Linked DNA regions of Drosophila melanogaster. The protein of the gene in region 1 purifies or fractionates together with the protein of each later gene. This does not show direct contact. Each region holds a gene or a part of one and is shown on either strand. Other genes may lie near its edges.

What was found. Proteins that work in one complex are often made in the same cells at the same time.
Region 2: the proteins of Atxn7 (region 1) and Ada2b purify together in Drosophila melanogaster (affinity purification with mass spectrometry; 3 studies listed by BioGRID, with this or other methods). This does not show direct contact.
Region 3: the proteins of Atxn7 (region 1) and Ada1-2 purify together in Drosophila melanogaster (affinity purification with mass spectrometry; 2 studies listed by BioGRID). This does not show direct contact.

The regions. Positions count from the first base shown.
Region 1 is NT_033779.5:2,374,184-2,381,052, reverse strand, and holds Atxn7 (ataxin 7), read right to left. Parts: upstream 5,213-6,869; 5' UTR 4,910-5,212; exon of another isoform or gene 4,790-4,909; intron 4,721-4,789; exon of another isoform or gene 4,381-4,720; intron 3,922-4,380; 5' UTR 3,852-3,921; coding exon 2,778-3,851; intron 2,718-2,777; coding exon 876-2,717; 3' UTR 547-875; downstream 1-546. Other genes in the region: CG15390 (uncharacterized protein), read right to left, coding at 5,414-6,187, 6,244-6,297.
Region 2 is NT_033777.3:8,236,592-8,242,210, reverse strand, and holds Ada2b (transcriptional adaptor 2b), read left to right. Parts: upstream 1-1,695; 5' UTR 1,696-1,787; coding exon 1,788-1,901; intron 1,902-2,604; coding exon 2,605-3,480; intron 3,481-3,958; coding exon of another isoform or gene 3,959-4,028; coding exon 4,029-4,108; intron 4,109-4,175; coding exon 4,176-4,773; 3' UTR 4,774-5,097; downstream 5,098-5,619. UniProt on the Drosophila melanogaster protein: Component of several Gcn5-containing histone acetyltransferase complexes that regulate nucleosome organization; involved in acetylation of histone H3, particularly on Lys-10 (H3K9ac) and Lys-15 (H3K14ac).
Region 3 is NT_033779.5:11,991,044-11,994,576, forward strand, and holds Ada1-2 (transcriptional adaptor 1-2), read left to right. Parts: upstream 1-1,858; 5' UTR 1,859-1,949; coding exon 1,950-2,749; intron 2,750-2,813; coding exon 2,814-2,940; 3' UTR 2,941-3,011; downstream 3,012-3,533. Other genes in the region: escl, read left to right, coding at 1-228, 287-476, 532-1,431; CG18789 (uncharacterized protein), read right to left, coding at 3,023-3,533. UniProt on the Drosophila melanogaster protein: Component of the transcription regulatory complex SAGA, a multiprotein complex that activates transcription by remodeling chromatin and mediating histone acetylation and deubiquitination. The SAGA complex predominantly acetylates histone H3.

The DNA.
Region 1 (6,869 bases):
GATACAACTACAATTACTTAATTAATTTTAACACAATAAAATATTCTTTTAAATTGTAACTTATTTATTCGGCACTTATTTAATCGTTTTAGTGATTATTTGTTTTAAGGATATCTATAGTTGTGCCGCATACCGTAGGGATTATAAGGTTTTAAGCTTCGATAGATATTGTTAGCGTGTTCGTAAACCATTTAGACCGTTATTTTAATACGAATTTTTGAATGGCTTCACACTATTCCGGACAATTTATGTTATTTCTGACCGACATGGTCGGCGGATCCCACATTTCGGCTAACCACAGCCACTGCACTGTTCCTTACCCTTTGCCACTGCAATGTTCCTTACCCAGTGCCGTTGCCTCGAAATCTATCTTCCACTTCCACACACCTGTGCCAGCTCATGGGATCCATCAGAACAGTCGACTATGCCGTTGCAGGCTAAGCTGGTTTCCTTCGCTCGCCGGTTACTGTTCTCAACACATGGAACATAATCATAACTTGCTCCTCGTTTGGAGGAAGATATACACAATGAGGCAACGCTGGGTCTGGAGTATAATTGAACTTAGGCATGCTCTTGTATTTAAAAAGTTTACAGCGTGTATAAATAATGATTTACGAGTACCTAGCATAATGCTTAGCCACGAAAAATAATATGTATAATTGTTAAATTAATTAGAATAAACAAAGAATTACATACAATCAACTAATAGATAACTAAAAGATAATTATCACTTTTAAAAAATGAAGAATTAATTTAAAAAATTATTACAATTTAATTTAGCATTAGAGAAGAGGCTGCACATAATAGCATGGTATTGTATAAACATATAACTAGGGATGCGTGTCCGCACATCTGACCTTCCCCATCGGTTCAGATCAGACGAAGACGCGCATCAAGTCGCTGCTGGTTGGAGTGGAGTTGCCTCCCGGATTGGAACTGTTCCCCTTCCAGGGAGGATTGCTGTTGGCGCTGGGAGTGTTGCTGCTGTTCAAATTGCTGATGTTGTTCATGTTGCTGATGTTCATGTTGCTGCTGCTGTCGGACAAGGTGCGCAGCAGCTGCTTTTTGAGGAGCTGCTGTGGCGAGTGGCTCTGACTTTGGCTGGCGTTGTGGTTGCTCTGGAGCGGCAGGGTGAAGCTGGGGCGGCCGAGGGGCTGCAGCTGCTCCAGCTTGCCGGCCAACAGTCGGCGGCGTTTCTCGTAGAAACTGAAGGTCAGCTTGTTGTCCTCCTCCTTGTCGCGTTCCTTGTCCTTCGTCGGCTGCTCGCCGCCATCCTCGCTATCCGGTGGTGGCTTCTCCTCCTTCTTCGCCTTTCCCATTAGCAGTTCATTCAAACGCTTGGCTGTCATGACTCCCGGCGATCCGCTTGATCCACCACCAGCTTTTCCTCCTACCAGCGCCCTCTTATTGCACCTCAGGCGATCTTGTGCAATGACATTCGATCGCTGAGCGTAAATGGTTCTGCCCGAGGCGGGATTCTTACCCGGCAGACCGTTGCTTAACGCTGGCGAGGGCGGCGGCGGTGTGCGGGCCAGCTGACCGACCACGCCCAGGTGATTACCTCCCGACAGGGATAGCAAATTGTTGTTCGCCTTCCGCGTGGTCAACAGATTCTTGCGGAAGGTGACGCCCAGGCCCTGGGGCAACTTCACCATGCCAAACGTGTTCATGGCCAAGGGACGAGGCGCTCCGGAGTACAGCATCACGTTAAAGTAGCTGTCCTCGTGGTATTTGGCATTGGCCAGCGATGGATGGTGATTGATTTGAGGATTTGTTGTGGGTGGCTGGCTGGCGGCCTTGGCCTCCAGCTTAACAGTCTTTACGGTGTCGCTAACAGTCTCCAGTTTACTGAACTCAAAGTCGGCCAGTTCATCCGCCAGTTGGTTTGCCTCCGTTCCAGAACTCAAGTTGGTTTGTATGCCGCCCGATTGCACGACATTCACGTCCACATTTTCGTAGCCCGCGTTGGTTAGGAATTCGGCTAAGACCTTCTGCTCCAGCATGGAAACGGGATTCGACTCGGTGATCTCGTATATAATACTGGGCAGGATCATGTGCTCCTCCAGCTGCTGTTGCTGTGGATTGACCATTGCCTCATCCGTCAGAGACGGCACGTTGTAGACGCTGAACTGGCGCTGCTGCTCGTGATCCTGAAGCTTCTGATCCTGCTGCTGCTGTTGCTGCTGCTCTTGCAGTTGCTGCTGCTCGAGCATCTGCTGCTGCTGGTAAATCAGTTGCTGCAACTGCATGGCATCGATGGTGGTCAGCTCCTGCTGATGCTCTTCCTCGCCATAAACCTGCTGAACCGCCTGCTGCTGGTACACGGCGTAATCCTCGCCAATGGTTCCGTCCTCAAAGCGCAGCCTTTTAGTGGCCTGTGCGGGATGCGATAGCGATCCATTCTGCGCTTGCTGTTGTGACTGCTGTTGCGATGTGTCCAGAGCGCTCTCATCGAAGTTATTCAGAATCTCGTTGATCAGCTTGCTGTCCAGCATTTCGTCGAGCGTCTGCGAAATGGAGTTCTCGTCGGAGGTGTTGGGCAAGGGCAGTTCCTCCTCATCGGGCGCCACCTGCTCGGCGGAAACCGCTCCCGTGATGGAAGACACTGCCTGGTCCAGTTCGCTGAGCACTTGCTGCTGCTCGTAGGAATTCACCAGAGACTTATCTTTGTTCTTCTCCTTTTCCGCTTTTATTCGATGATCGCTGGAGCCCTTCAACTGAAGAGGATTTCGGTAATTGTATCATTGAGTTATTATAGTCACAATTATATGAAATACCTTTTTCTTTGGCTGCAGCTCGGGCAGCTTTTCCGCATCCGTCTGAAGCTGGGCAGGTGAATAGTTGACCCCCATCGCCACCTCGCTGGAGGCCGCTCCCAACGTGGGAGTGGGCGGTAAGCTGCAGGATGAGTTGCTGGAGGAGGAGAACATGGTTATGGCAGCCGGAGCAGCACCCACAGATGGTGGCTCCTCCTTAACAACAGCAGCGACGACGGGAGGAGCGGCTATGGCCGAACTCTTCTTCGATCCCTTTGACTCCTTGTGATTGGACTCCAGCAGGGCCGGAGCTGGCGAGGAGTGGTGGCGGTTCTTTGACGACTTCGAACGCGACCTACTTCCGGCGGAAGTGCTGCTGCTGCCCTTAGACGAGGAGGAACTGCTACTTTTACTGCTGCTGCTCTTGTGACGCGACGAAGACGAAGACGACGTGGTGCTGGATGAACCCGCAGCAGCCGGATGCTGCAGTGAAGCCGAGCTGCTGGACCCGTTCGAGCAACTGGAGAGCGTCGAGGCCGAAAGCGTATCCGTGGGCGAACTTGGCACGATAGCCCCGCCCTCCTGACTGATTTCCGTGGCAGTGAGACGAGAGTCGCTGGATATGGCTGTCCCATTTGGATTGGGATTCACTTTGCTGGATGTGGCCTCCCAGACGCTAGGATGCTGCAGCGCAATGTGGTGCTGGAAACCTGCCTTCGTGTAACATCCCGAGCAGGAACTACAGAGTACTATATCGCGACTGGCCAGCTTCGGCGCCAGATCGTAGTAGGCCATGTCCGCCGATTGCAGACGCTGGACCTGCACCTTCGCCTGTTGATCTGCGCCGGCGGAGGAGTTCTTTCCACCACGCAGATACGTCTTCTCAGCCGTTCGCAGTTGCTTGATGACCTTTTCCATGTCGAAGACCTGCTGCCACTTTTGGCCCTGCAGGCTAAACAGGGATAGTCCCGCCGATCCCGAGCCGGAATTGGAGCCGGCCGACGAGTCCGGCTTCCACATTCCCGACACCTTGTGCTTGGTTCCATTTTCCGGATAAGCTCCACCACCGGCGGGGGCCACATCGTTCAGGGGCATTCCGGATAGAAGCTGTGCTCGCGGGATCCGGGGATTCGGTACACTCGAGCAAAATTGCCCCTTAAAGCACCTGCAAAACAGGATTGATTTATTAGTTCCAGAGAAACTTTGATAGTGACAGCTTTTAACTGATACTGCAATTCATCGCTGATAAAAAACACAAAATCTGGGGCTATGCACCATGAACCCCGGACCACGGAATCCCTACGAAATGCCCATGTTAAAATCATCACTAGTTTTCATACAATAAATTCGTATATTCTATTACATATACATATGTACGTGGTTTGAATCACCACCAGGCGTGTTTAACCCTAAAACTCAAATTTAATCTTATAAGTATATCTCAAGAAGATTACAACTTTATTAGATTTAGATTTAAGGTAAATTAAAACAAGAATAATCATTTAGAATTAATTATTTATTTTTTCTTTATTTTTTTATATTATAATTAAAATTTTTTGGTGCACGTTAGGATTAACATAAACAGAACCATCGTTATAATTAAATGAATAGATATCAGCAGAACCCACTTATACATATACAACATATCCATTGACCACAGGACCCTGACCCTGAATACATACATACATACATATATAGATTTTATTAGCAACGGAAAAGTATTGGACACTGCACAAACCACTTGTGGAGGGTGTGAAGACTGTACGTCTTGGAGTATTTCTATGCGTATATTGCCATTTTTGAATGAATCTCGAAATTTAACAAACTGTTGTTTTTGATATCGTAAATTTTCAGCGAAAGCTTACAGGTGAGTGCTGCCCCCGCCCCCGCGAGCGCCAACCCCTCGGTACCCGCACCCCTTGGTCTGGATCAGCTGTTTTTGACAACCGCTACTCGAGTGGCGCCGTCTCGCTCGCACTGCCGCACACATGCGCAGCCACTCACACCGACGCACAGCACACTCACGCACTTACCCACACCAATGCAACACAAACAAAGCACACGATTGAAAATCACAAAATAAAAATCACTTAAAATGCTCGCAGGCAATTTTAGTCGAATGCCGAATGATATCGGCATTAAATGACACTTACGTCGTTAACACACTTCCATGTTTTGTTGTTTTTTTTGTGGGTTTAGGTTACCGTTCTACCCTACCCGTGGATAAATCGGATTTTTGGCCGGCCTCCGTGGAGGAAAATGCCAGGTCAACTCGAAAAAGACGAGTTGGTTGTATAGCCTAATTGATTCTGTAACGAAATCAATTAAAGCTTTCTAGTTTGTCTCGCTTTTTCGAGTTTAAAGATTGATATTATGAATATCGTTGTATTTGCTTAGGGATGGCAATTCGCGTCTCGTTACGTTACGTTGTATTTGTTGCAGCTGCAGATTAAGTGCGATATGTTATCGATAGTCGCACAGGTATTCGTTGCATACGTAGCCGATATATTAATTACATGCATTTCCGCTGAAAAGTCAGTTGAATATATTTATGAATTAAAATCTTTTTAAAGGCGATAGAAAACTATACTTAACATTTCCTATTTTTACAAGCGTTTATTTGCTGGCACAAACTATAACCATAATTAAACGTAACATTAGTCATCTTCATCACTAAGCTCATCCTCCTCCTTTCTTCTGGACTTTTGCTCCAGTTCCTTGGCGTAGAGATCCTTGAAGGCTTCGTATTCCGGCAGGGTGACGTGGCAAATCTTTGTGGCGAAACTCTTCTCGGAAGTGTCTGTAATCTGATAGAGTTTGGGGTTCGTAGTCGGCTCATTTGGATCGGCTTTCGGAGGTCGTGGCTTAAAGAGGCCCAAACGAAGCAGGAACTGGTGGCGACAACGCAGCTCCTCGAATGACAAGGTAAGGGCTGCCGATTTAACCAACTCCGGCACTTCTATGCGCATCACGTCTGTGATGAAGTTCAGTTTCTCCTCAATAGATACCTCGGATTGTGCTATCAAATCCGGACTGTTCATCAAACACTTCCACACATTTTTGCTGGTGGAGACGCGACTTTGAAGGAAGCCGATGTGGGAAAGTAACTGGTGGGAGTCGCTAACGTCCAGTAACTCGGGGTACTTCGTAAGGAGCAGGTGCAGTAGATTCTCGCCGAATTGACAGGCCCTCCAGATTTCCAGGCAGCTTATTATTTTGTCCGGCGTTCTTTTCAAAATCGCGGGGTTACCGGTAACTATTCTAAGGAAATTCACGGTTTCCAAGCCGTGGTTTTGAAAAGTTTGATGGGCCCTTCGCCAGATTTCAGGTGAGAATACAGCTAACGTGGGTTCTATTTTGATGGCTTCATCGATGTGAATTTGTTCAAGCTGCAATATCTTGGGCGTTGCCAAGTGCCTTATGTGATGTAACTGGAAAGTAACAATTTGTATCTAATTTCTATCTAATGCATTCATGATTAACTCACGTTTGACTGTTGTTTTAATACAGCTTGTGTGTTAAATAATAGTTTCCGCAACATTTTTGGCGATGTCCTCTTAAATCGGCGAGCAAAACAATGAACAGCTGATCTCTTCTTCTTTGCAATGACAGTTACCGAGAAGCGTGAACAACGGCATGTTTAGCTGGTACACCCACCATATTCGTCTATAGCTTAATTGTCTATTAAATCGCACGCATCGAACTGTTATTCTCGTCGGGTGCACAGCAAATTGTTTATAAATAGAACTGTCGCGCATAAAAAACAACAGTGGAAAGTTTTATCGTTTAGTTCTGCTACAAGCTCAGCGTAAGTTTTTTTTCTTTATTTTGTACATATGTGTGTATACATGTGTGTGAGAGTTCAACTATAGCATAATTATAATCAAACTCTGAAAGAGATATAGCTTAATGTTATAAACTAAGTACTACCCGGCTTATTTAACCAAAGAATTCAAATTATTTGTCGCCATTTGGAACCGTACAAGTAAATACATACATATGTATGTAGAAAACGACATGTAAACTGATCGATACACTGATAAAAATTTATATTCAAGTGAAAAAGCTTAAATCAAATTTATAAATGGATGTGAAATGTATTTTTATATTTCT
Region 2 (5,619 bases), on another chromosome or scaffold:
TGTTGGGCTGAGCGCCGCCAAAAGCCATGTCAGCACCTATTCCAGCTTCACCACACCAGTGATCCCCGCCAAGCTTAGCCAATGTTTAGACGCTTCCCAAGACGATGACGATGAGCAGCGAGAGTTTAGAGACAAAGACGAGACACCGAGCACAGCGAATCGGTTCCCATATCCGAGTGAGTATGGTGCAGAGTTTGTGGCATCTGCCGGCATGTTGGTCATACTGTTGCTAGTTGGCCATTGCCACAGGACCTTGAGCCCTCATCGCGCCAATGCCCATGACAAAGACACAAAGACTTTACATACCAAATTAGTTGATAGTTATGCTTTAGGACTACTCGCTTATGCAAATTTTGAGAGCCCATCCATCGCGGCCGCCTGCTTATGAGTCTCGATGCTGGGAGCAGGCGGTTCAGACGGATCTGGACATGGATCTGTTTCCGTTGCCAGTCGTCAATTATGACGACTGGGGTCGCGCCTGCGCTGTGACTTTTCCTTAGTTCCTTACGCAAGCGAATTCAAATCGAACCGTATCTGTGAAAATCGTGAATCTCAAACTCTTGAATGTCCTCGAACAGTATTGTTAAACATACTTCAGTCCCTAGGATCAGACGCAGGTGCGACACCAAAACCGAATTTGGCGCTCAAATAGACTTATTTAGACGTTTTTAGGTACTCGAATTGATAAATTTTGTTGGCCGTGTGCGTGTTTTTGAAAAGCGCAGCTGCACAAGTAACTTGCCATATCTGTTTAAGATCTGTTAACCCATTTTGTATCGTGTAACTCGTTTTGTTTTTCTCTGGTCCAAGCTAACTAGCAAGAGTAAACTAGCAACAATGCCACCAAAGCCACATGCAACACAAACTAGTCCTCACCGCCCACTGAGATATCTGGAACCCATAACAATTCGGCTACTGCTCGGTGTAAGACAGCAATACTAACAATAATATAAACGTATTCACCATATGAACTAATCGAATAATCAACTATTTATACAGCGTAGCCTACCCCAAATCCTTCCCAATGATTGTAATGATTGTAACCTACAATATCTCGGCAGTCCCACGCCCTATTCATGTTAGATGTAAGCAACCGAAATATTTTTCGGCAGTTATTACTTTTACACTTTTTGTTTGAAACAAAAGATATTTACCCATTTTATATTTTTTTTGTAACTCAGAATTTAGCTTAAGTTTTTAATCCTGACCACCGCTTAAATTTACGTATCGAACTGCATTTAAGCACATGAGTTTTTTATATTTTTATTCAGCACCACGCTACAAATGTTTCAACCATCACATATTCGTATTTATGTTTACCTTGTTTTGGTTTGATATGCACTTCTTTTATTTTAGTTTTATTTTATATATATTAATATTATTTTTTGTGATAATTTAAAAAAGGCAAAACACTCGAATTAAACTTTTAAAATAATTAAATAAACTACTATCAATATTTAACGCATAAACATTAGAGTTTTGAACATGTGCCTAATGTTTGAAATTTGTATTCTATATTTAATGTGTTGGTACTTTTGGTAAGTAGTATAATTTAGAAATTAACTATAATTCAGAGATTCAACAGAATTATGAAAATTAGCTAAAAAGGCTTTAAGACTAGCTATATAGGCGGCACTGTTCCGATGAACTGGTTCGGTTCGTTGGCCGTACATATAAGAATTCTCAGTAGAGCAATATGGCGTTGACTTCGCGTCTGGTCACATTACTGGCATAGGTTTTTTTCGCACAACTCATAATTGTCGTGAAAATCCAGGTTTTGGCCCAAAATGACCACAATCGCGGATTTATTCACAAAGTATAATTGCACAAATTGCCAGGATGATATTCAGGGCATTCGAGTGCACTGCGCGGAGTGCGAAAACTTCGATTTGTGTCTGCAAGTAAGTAACTCACACATACACGCCGTCGAGCGACGCACGTATACATGTTGCAGTAGGGTGGTTCGCTCTTTTTGAGGTTCTAGATACTTGTATATAGATTTGTAAATAATAAAAATCAGTTATTTTAACAAAATATTCTTGAATCACCCTCTTTGGATGGTCAAACTAATGGCCATATGGCCTCAATCCTCTAAATTAACGTCACCCAGATCTTGACAAGAAAAATATTTGCTTTAACTTTTTGTTAATTTAAAGGAAATTTGTTTATTGATTTTGGTAAATAGGTAGACTATCGTAGTTAATTTAATTAAAAATTACTTCCTTACGAATTAGCAGTGTCATTTTTATTTAGTTAAATGCCATAAATTAAAAAGAAAAAAATGTCAAAATAAGTGTCTGAATCTTGTATTAAAAAAAGGCCTGACAAAGCGTAAATTTAGGGAATATGAAATATGTTTCTGTTTTAATTTCCTAATCAAATTATTTTTATCGAGGAACTATTTACACGTTTTCTTTGTCAACATAATCGACCCACCCTGTTACACCCACACTCGTACAATCTAGAGATGCGTCGCCAATTTGGAACCAAAAACTGACTCATCTAGACATTCAAATAATACATACACACAACCGGCAATTTCACCATATTGATTAAAAAACAGCTGACTCTGTATTTATATTGTATTGTTTATTTTTTGCGCAGTGCTTTGCCGCAGGTGCGGAGATCGGCGCCCATCAAAACAACCACTCCTACCAGTTCATGGACACCGGCACTTCCATATTGAGTGTATTTCGTGGAAAGGGGGCGTGGACGGCACGAGAGGAAATCCGCCTGTTGGATGCAATCGAGCAGTACGGCTTTGGAAACTGGGAGGACATTAGCAAGCACATTGAGACGAAGTCAGCGGAGGATGCCAAAGAGGAGTACGTGAATAAGTTTGTAAATGGCACGATTGGAAGGGCCACTTGGACGCCGGCCCAGAGCCAGAGACCCCGCCTTATCGATCACACTGGAGACGACGACGCTGGTCCTCTGGGCACCAATGCTCTCTCTACCTTGCCTCCACTGGAAATCAACTCCGATGAGGCCATGCAGCTGGGCTACATGCCCAACAGGGACAGCTTTGAGCGGGAGTACGATCCCACGGCAGAGCAACTGATCTCGAACATCTCATTAAGCTCCGAGGATACGGAGGTGGATGTGATGCTTAAGCTGGCCCACGTTGACATATACACCCGCCGACTCAGAGAGCGTGCTCGCAGGAAACGGATGGTCAGGGACTATCAATTAGTATCAAATTTCTTCCGAAACAGAAATTACGCTCAGCAACAAGGACTCACCAAGGAGCAGCGCGAGTTTCGGGACAGATTTCGGGTCTACGCCCAGTTCTACACGTGTAACGAGTATGAGCGGCTATTGGGATCACTGGAGCGCGAAAAGGAACTGCGCATTCGACAGTCAGAGCTGTACCGATACCGGTATAATGGCCTGACCAAAATCGCGGAATGCACACATTTCGAGCAGCACGCCGCAACAGCGACGCACCGCTCTACAGGACCATATGGCCATGGCAAGACCGTAAGTTTAAGGCTCCGCAACAGGGGTGCCGAAATCGAACTAACCATTAAATATTTTATTTGGTCTTGAAAATCCGAACTTTTTGGAACTTTGTTATTTTTTTTTTTATTATTAAAATCCAAACATTACCTTTTCTTTCGATTGTTTCACAAAAATTAAAAGAGGTGTTAGGTGACCGGAACCGGTAGCTTTATAATTTTATCAACAATGAGTAGATTAACTTAAATTGAAAGAAAACAAATGATTTAAGTTGAATGTATAGATAAAAGTTTGGATAAATCGATTTGGAATACTTAATACAGAATATTAAATGGTCAAATTGGCTAGTTTCGATTTCATTCCCCTTGGAGTAAGCTTTTCCCACTGAGAATGCATGACGAGTTGAATATCGTGTGTTCTGCCTTGCTTTAACCGTCGTCCTTACCTGAACTGACCCAACTCTTACAATCGCTTTTCCGTCTTGTCTCACGATATTCAGCTCCACTGCATAATAAACGCGCCAAACAACGAGCGTTCGAATGGTTCTATAAGACAATGTTTAACCACAGGACCACACGCATACCTCCAATGGAAGTCATCGGCCGCCAAGCTCTTCCTTGCACTCCCCACAACCGAATCTCAGAAAGGTGTAAGTATTTTGGCAAAAAATTGCAATTACCTTAGAACTTGAATAATTCGGTTTTTCGTTTATTTAGCGAAATGTCAAGCGGCGGCGAGGCAAGTTCAAATTCAATCGCACCAAGAAACACGCTCCACATCGCCGACCCGACCTGCTCCGGCGCATTATTGCCCAGCAAAAACTACTTGGATAGCTGTCGGGGATCGTCGGCAGCTACGATGCTGCAGACGACGGGAATGGTAATGGGGGTAACAGTGGACTCGGGAGCGACGACGGGAGTGACTTCCACGGCTACGACGATGGCGAATCTGCCAACGAACTCGGCGAAGGGAAGCCAACAACATCTGCAGCCGCTGCAGCAGCATCCTCAGCTCCTGCAAAGCGGCAACCAGCACAAAATGCAAAACGAGGCCGCCGGCGGAGGCAGTGATCAGGTGCCCAGCATGAGCCTGAAATTGCGCACCCAGCTGGAGGAACTAAAACATCTGCCACAGCCGCCGGGCAGTGAACTGCTCAGTCACAACGAGCTGGATCTGTGCAAGAAGCATAATATTACGCCCACCACCTACCTCTCGGTTAAGACTGTCTGCTTGAGCGGAGCACCATCGTTGGGTAGTCCTATGGAGACTTCGCTGCGCAAGTTCTTTATCAAGTGCGGCTGGCTGAGCCACTGAACATCTTCCAACTTCCCGCTCCCCTTCGATTAAGAGCCACATGCATTTCCAAGGACTTCACTTTATTTTTGTATTAGTTAGAATAGGTTAAAGACATTTTTATACTGTTCAACTGTCGTTGGCATTTTCATCAAGGTAAAAACTACAAAACTGAAAATCAATTTACTTGTATCAAGTCAAGCTCAATTACAATAAGTGTTGTTCCTTTGTGTGAGATGTCGGGATTCAGATATTGTGTATTAACTAAGCTTAAGTAGGGGACCCAACCAATTGAATATGTATGATATGAATTGTAAATGAAGTAATAAATGTAATAGTGAATGTACAACAAGGACGCGACTTGTTTCTCGGATCTCACAGCTGGGAGACCGCTTTGGACTGAATGCCGCTAGGATATGTAAGAAGTAAGGTATTGAGTAAGCCTCTGATAGCGATAATACCGCGTTGAGTATTTATATTCGTATATTATTTCTTATGGTAGCTAGTTTTCTAGGCAAGATTCTGAACAATGCATTTGAACGTAATTCATTAAAGCCCATGAGAGCATGATAATCAATGTACTAGGCTGAGGAATGGAAAACAATGCTGGAAAAAATATATAAATATCTAATATGTTAACACATATGGAATGTTTTATAAATTAGCGAAGATTAAAACTTGTTAAATGAAAATGCGGTTATCTAATGACATTCTTCGGTATTATAAACTTAACAAAATCACTCATTCAGTTCAAGAAACCCACTAGTTATTTATCCTAGCTTATGTTCGTCCAATGCGGCACCCTAAAGCATGCACTCTGTAACCGTATACCTACAAAAATATATCATATATTTAAACAAATTTATT
Region 3 (3,533 bases), 9.6 Mb from region 1:
CCACTCTCCAGCGGAGGCAGTGCTGAGCAATAATTCCTCGAGTGTCTGCAATGTTGTGGAGCCGGATGATGAGCACGAAGTTAATTCCGTGGATCGGGAGGACACCGCCAGTTTGTTCAGCACTACTACGACCACCACCAGAAGCAAATCGCCAAATACACGAAAATTGAACCGCCTGTGTCGGCGGATCAAGGCACCCAAAATGGTTCAGCCCTTGTACAAATATAGGTGTGATTTTTCCAGGCAGAACATAAGTCATAATGTTTATATCCCGGATGCATTGCAGCTCCCATGTCCGCGAGGACCACAACCATCAGATCTTCGGAGTGCAGTTCAATCCGTTCCTGGACAGAGGCCAGCCGCAGGTGTTCGCCACCGTTGGCAAGGATCGGGTTTCCATTTATGAGTGCGAGAGGAGCACCGGACAGGAGTCCTGCGAAGGCATTCGACTGCTGCAAGTCTACGCAGACCCAGATGTAAGTACTCATCATATGCTATTACTTACATACATCATCGTTACGCCCTCGTTAGACCGATGAAAGTTTCTACACATGCGCTTGGTCCTACGACTCTGTGACCGGCGATCCTGTGCTTGCCGCGGCTGGTTACCGCGGCGTCATTCGCATATTCAATCCGGTTAAGCACCAGTGCAGCAAAAACTACATTGGTCACGGGCACGCCATTAACGAGCTGAAGTTTCATCCGACTAGACCGCAGTTACTTCTGTCCGGCAGCAAGGATCACTCCCTGCGCCTTTGGAACATTCAGTCGGACGTGTGTGTGGCGGTTTTCGGCGGCGTAGAAGGACACCGCGACGAAGTGTTGTCTGTGGACTTTGATTTGCGCGGTGATCGCATCATGTCCAGTGGAATGGATCACTCACTGAAGCTCTGGCGACTGGATAAGCCCGATATAAAAGAGGCCATCGAGCTGAGCTCTGGTTTTAGTCCCAACAAGAATACGGGTCCGTTTCCCACGATCAAGGAGCACTTTCCGGACTTCTCGACAAGGGATATACATCGAAATTATGTGGATTGCGTTCAGTGGTTCGGCGACTTTGTCTTTTCGAAATCCTGCGAGAACTCAATTGTTTGCTGGAAGCCGGGCAAACTTTCAGAATCGTGGCATGAGATTAAGCCACAGGAGTCGGCCACCACGGTGCTGCATCACTTTGACTACAAGATGTGCGAGATCTGGTTCGTACGCTTCGCCTTCAACGCCTGGCAAAAGATTCTGGCCTTGGGCAATCAACTGGGCACAACATTTGTCTGGGAATTGGACTGCAATGATCCCAATTTAACAAAGTGTAGCCAGCTGGTTCATCCCAAAAGCAACTCCACCATCCGACAGACTTCCTTCTCCAAAGACGGTTCCATTTTAGTTTGCGTGTGCGACGACAGCACCGTGTGGCGATGGGATCGCGTCAATTAGGATGAGTGTTTCTAGGCTAAAAGAATTTTCCTTATCCTTCTAAATCCGATACCATATTTATGTAACCATAGTTATTTTCAGTGTAATGTTTACCTTCAATATTAAGTATGTTATTATGCGTAGCATTTATATACAATACTCATTGTATTGACAATTTATGTTAAATTATGTTAAATTTTTTAACATTAACCAAGATATTTATTCTATTCTATTACTTTTTTAATGATCAAATAGCTTCGCAAATATTATCATCTTATGTTGTGTGAATGGCGTGGGCTCTATCTTTAATGTTTATATTTTAACTAACTAACTTGTACACAATAAAAACTGTGAACACTAAAGATTAAAACCAATATTTTTTTAAAGGGTTCTTCAAAAATAACGGTTTTTATCTCAAATGTATCTGGTATTTTCAGCCGTTCTTTGAACGGTCACTCGAATCAGCTGCATTCATTTGTTTATATAGCAATTCGCAAACAGTTGGATTTTCCTGTTTAGTTGTTATTCCCATTACTAAAATGCTTACCGACAGAGTTCTGGCCACCAAGGAGGCGCTAGTGGTGGCTCTGGGCGACAACTGGGAGCGTTACCGGGCCAACATGAAGAATTGGTTTCGGAGCCGTTGGACTAAGGAGGAATTCGATGCGGAGTCGCGGAAAATCCTAACACCTGACAAACTGCACCTGCACAATCAGTTCCTGCTCGCCCTGCTCAACAAGATCGACGCCTTTGCTCCCCTGGAGAATCCTCCGGCCGTCCAGACCAGCAGCAGTAGTGGCAACCGAAGCAAACGGCGCAAAAGAAGTTCCCGCACCTTCGCCGAACGCCTTAATTTTGAGCTCAGCGACGTCCTGGACTTTGTAGCCGAGGACAACATGCAAATCATTCGTCCGCCAACCACGATCGGTATTCCGTCGGACCAGCAACAGCAACAGCTTCAGTCGCAGCGGTACTGCGCGCAGGAACTTTTCCTGCCCGACGCGGGATTCATTATGGGACGATTTCTGATCGGTGCCTGGGAAATCGGACTTGTCTCCGTGGACGACAATGTCGCCGAGTACGTTGCCATGGCCGTGCAAGTTCTGCTCAAGGATCTACTATCGGCAATCATCAAGAAACGAAAGCACTACAAGACCAGCGGCGAGGGAAACTTTTACTACGATGTAGGTGCTCCGTTGCGTGATCCTTCGCTGCGCAACACCGTCACCCGGCAGAAGGTCGACGACACGCCGCTGGAACTGGACAAGGAACTGAATACGGCCAACTTTATGCGGCGACAGAACGACGATGTGACCTTCCTCTCCGCCTGCGAAGAAGTGTAAGCTCCTGAATAATAATGAGATTTTCATGTGAAACACAAACTTAGGTTTTGTTTCTTTCAGCCAACCCACCGAACGCACAGTAATCACCCTCAAGGACTGCCAACTGGCCTTACGGGATCGCAACCTGATAGGCTCGCATGCCGTCTACTCTATAAACATGGAACGACTCAATATGATGATGCATTAGCTTATAAGTTCTAATTATTTTATTATATCAGCTTCTGTAAAAATATATACATTATACGCTAGTGTACCATTAAGTGTTTGGTTCAGCAAAAATTCCGTGGAGGCGGTTTGAATGGCAAGGCACCTGGTAGAAATTGATCCGCCTTGAATGCTTCGATTTCCTGCTCGTTGAGATCCTCCATGCGACTGTAAACTGAGGACTGGATTTCGTTGGTCGGTTGAGCTTGCTGCTGCTGCTGCTGCATCATTTGCTGTTGCTGTTGCATTTGAAATTGTTGTTGCTGCTGCTGCATTTGTTGCTGTTGCATCTGCTGCTGCTGATGCATTTGTTGCTGTTGCATCTGTTGCTGCTGCTGCATCTGTTGCTGCTGCTGCATCTGTTGTTGATTAGGGAATGCAGATGCTGCTGCTTGAGCAAATAATCCGGAGGCAGCTGCCTGCTGCTGCTGTTGTAGTTGCTGAGAAGCCTGAGTAAACATTCCGCCCATATTTTGGCTTGCGGCTTGGCCAAAGATTCCCGTCGACTGTGGTTGCTGCTGCTGCTGTTGGAAACCACCGAAAGGATTAGGATTCACTGGCTGAGCTTGCACCTGA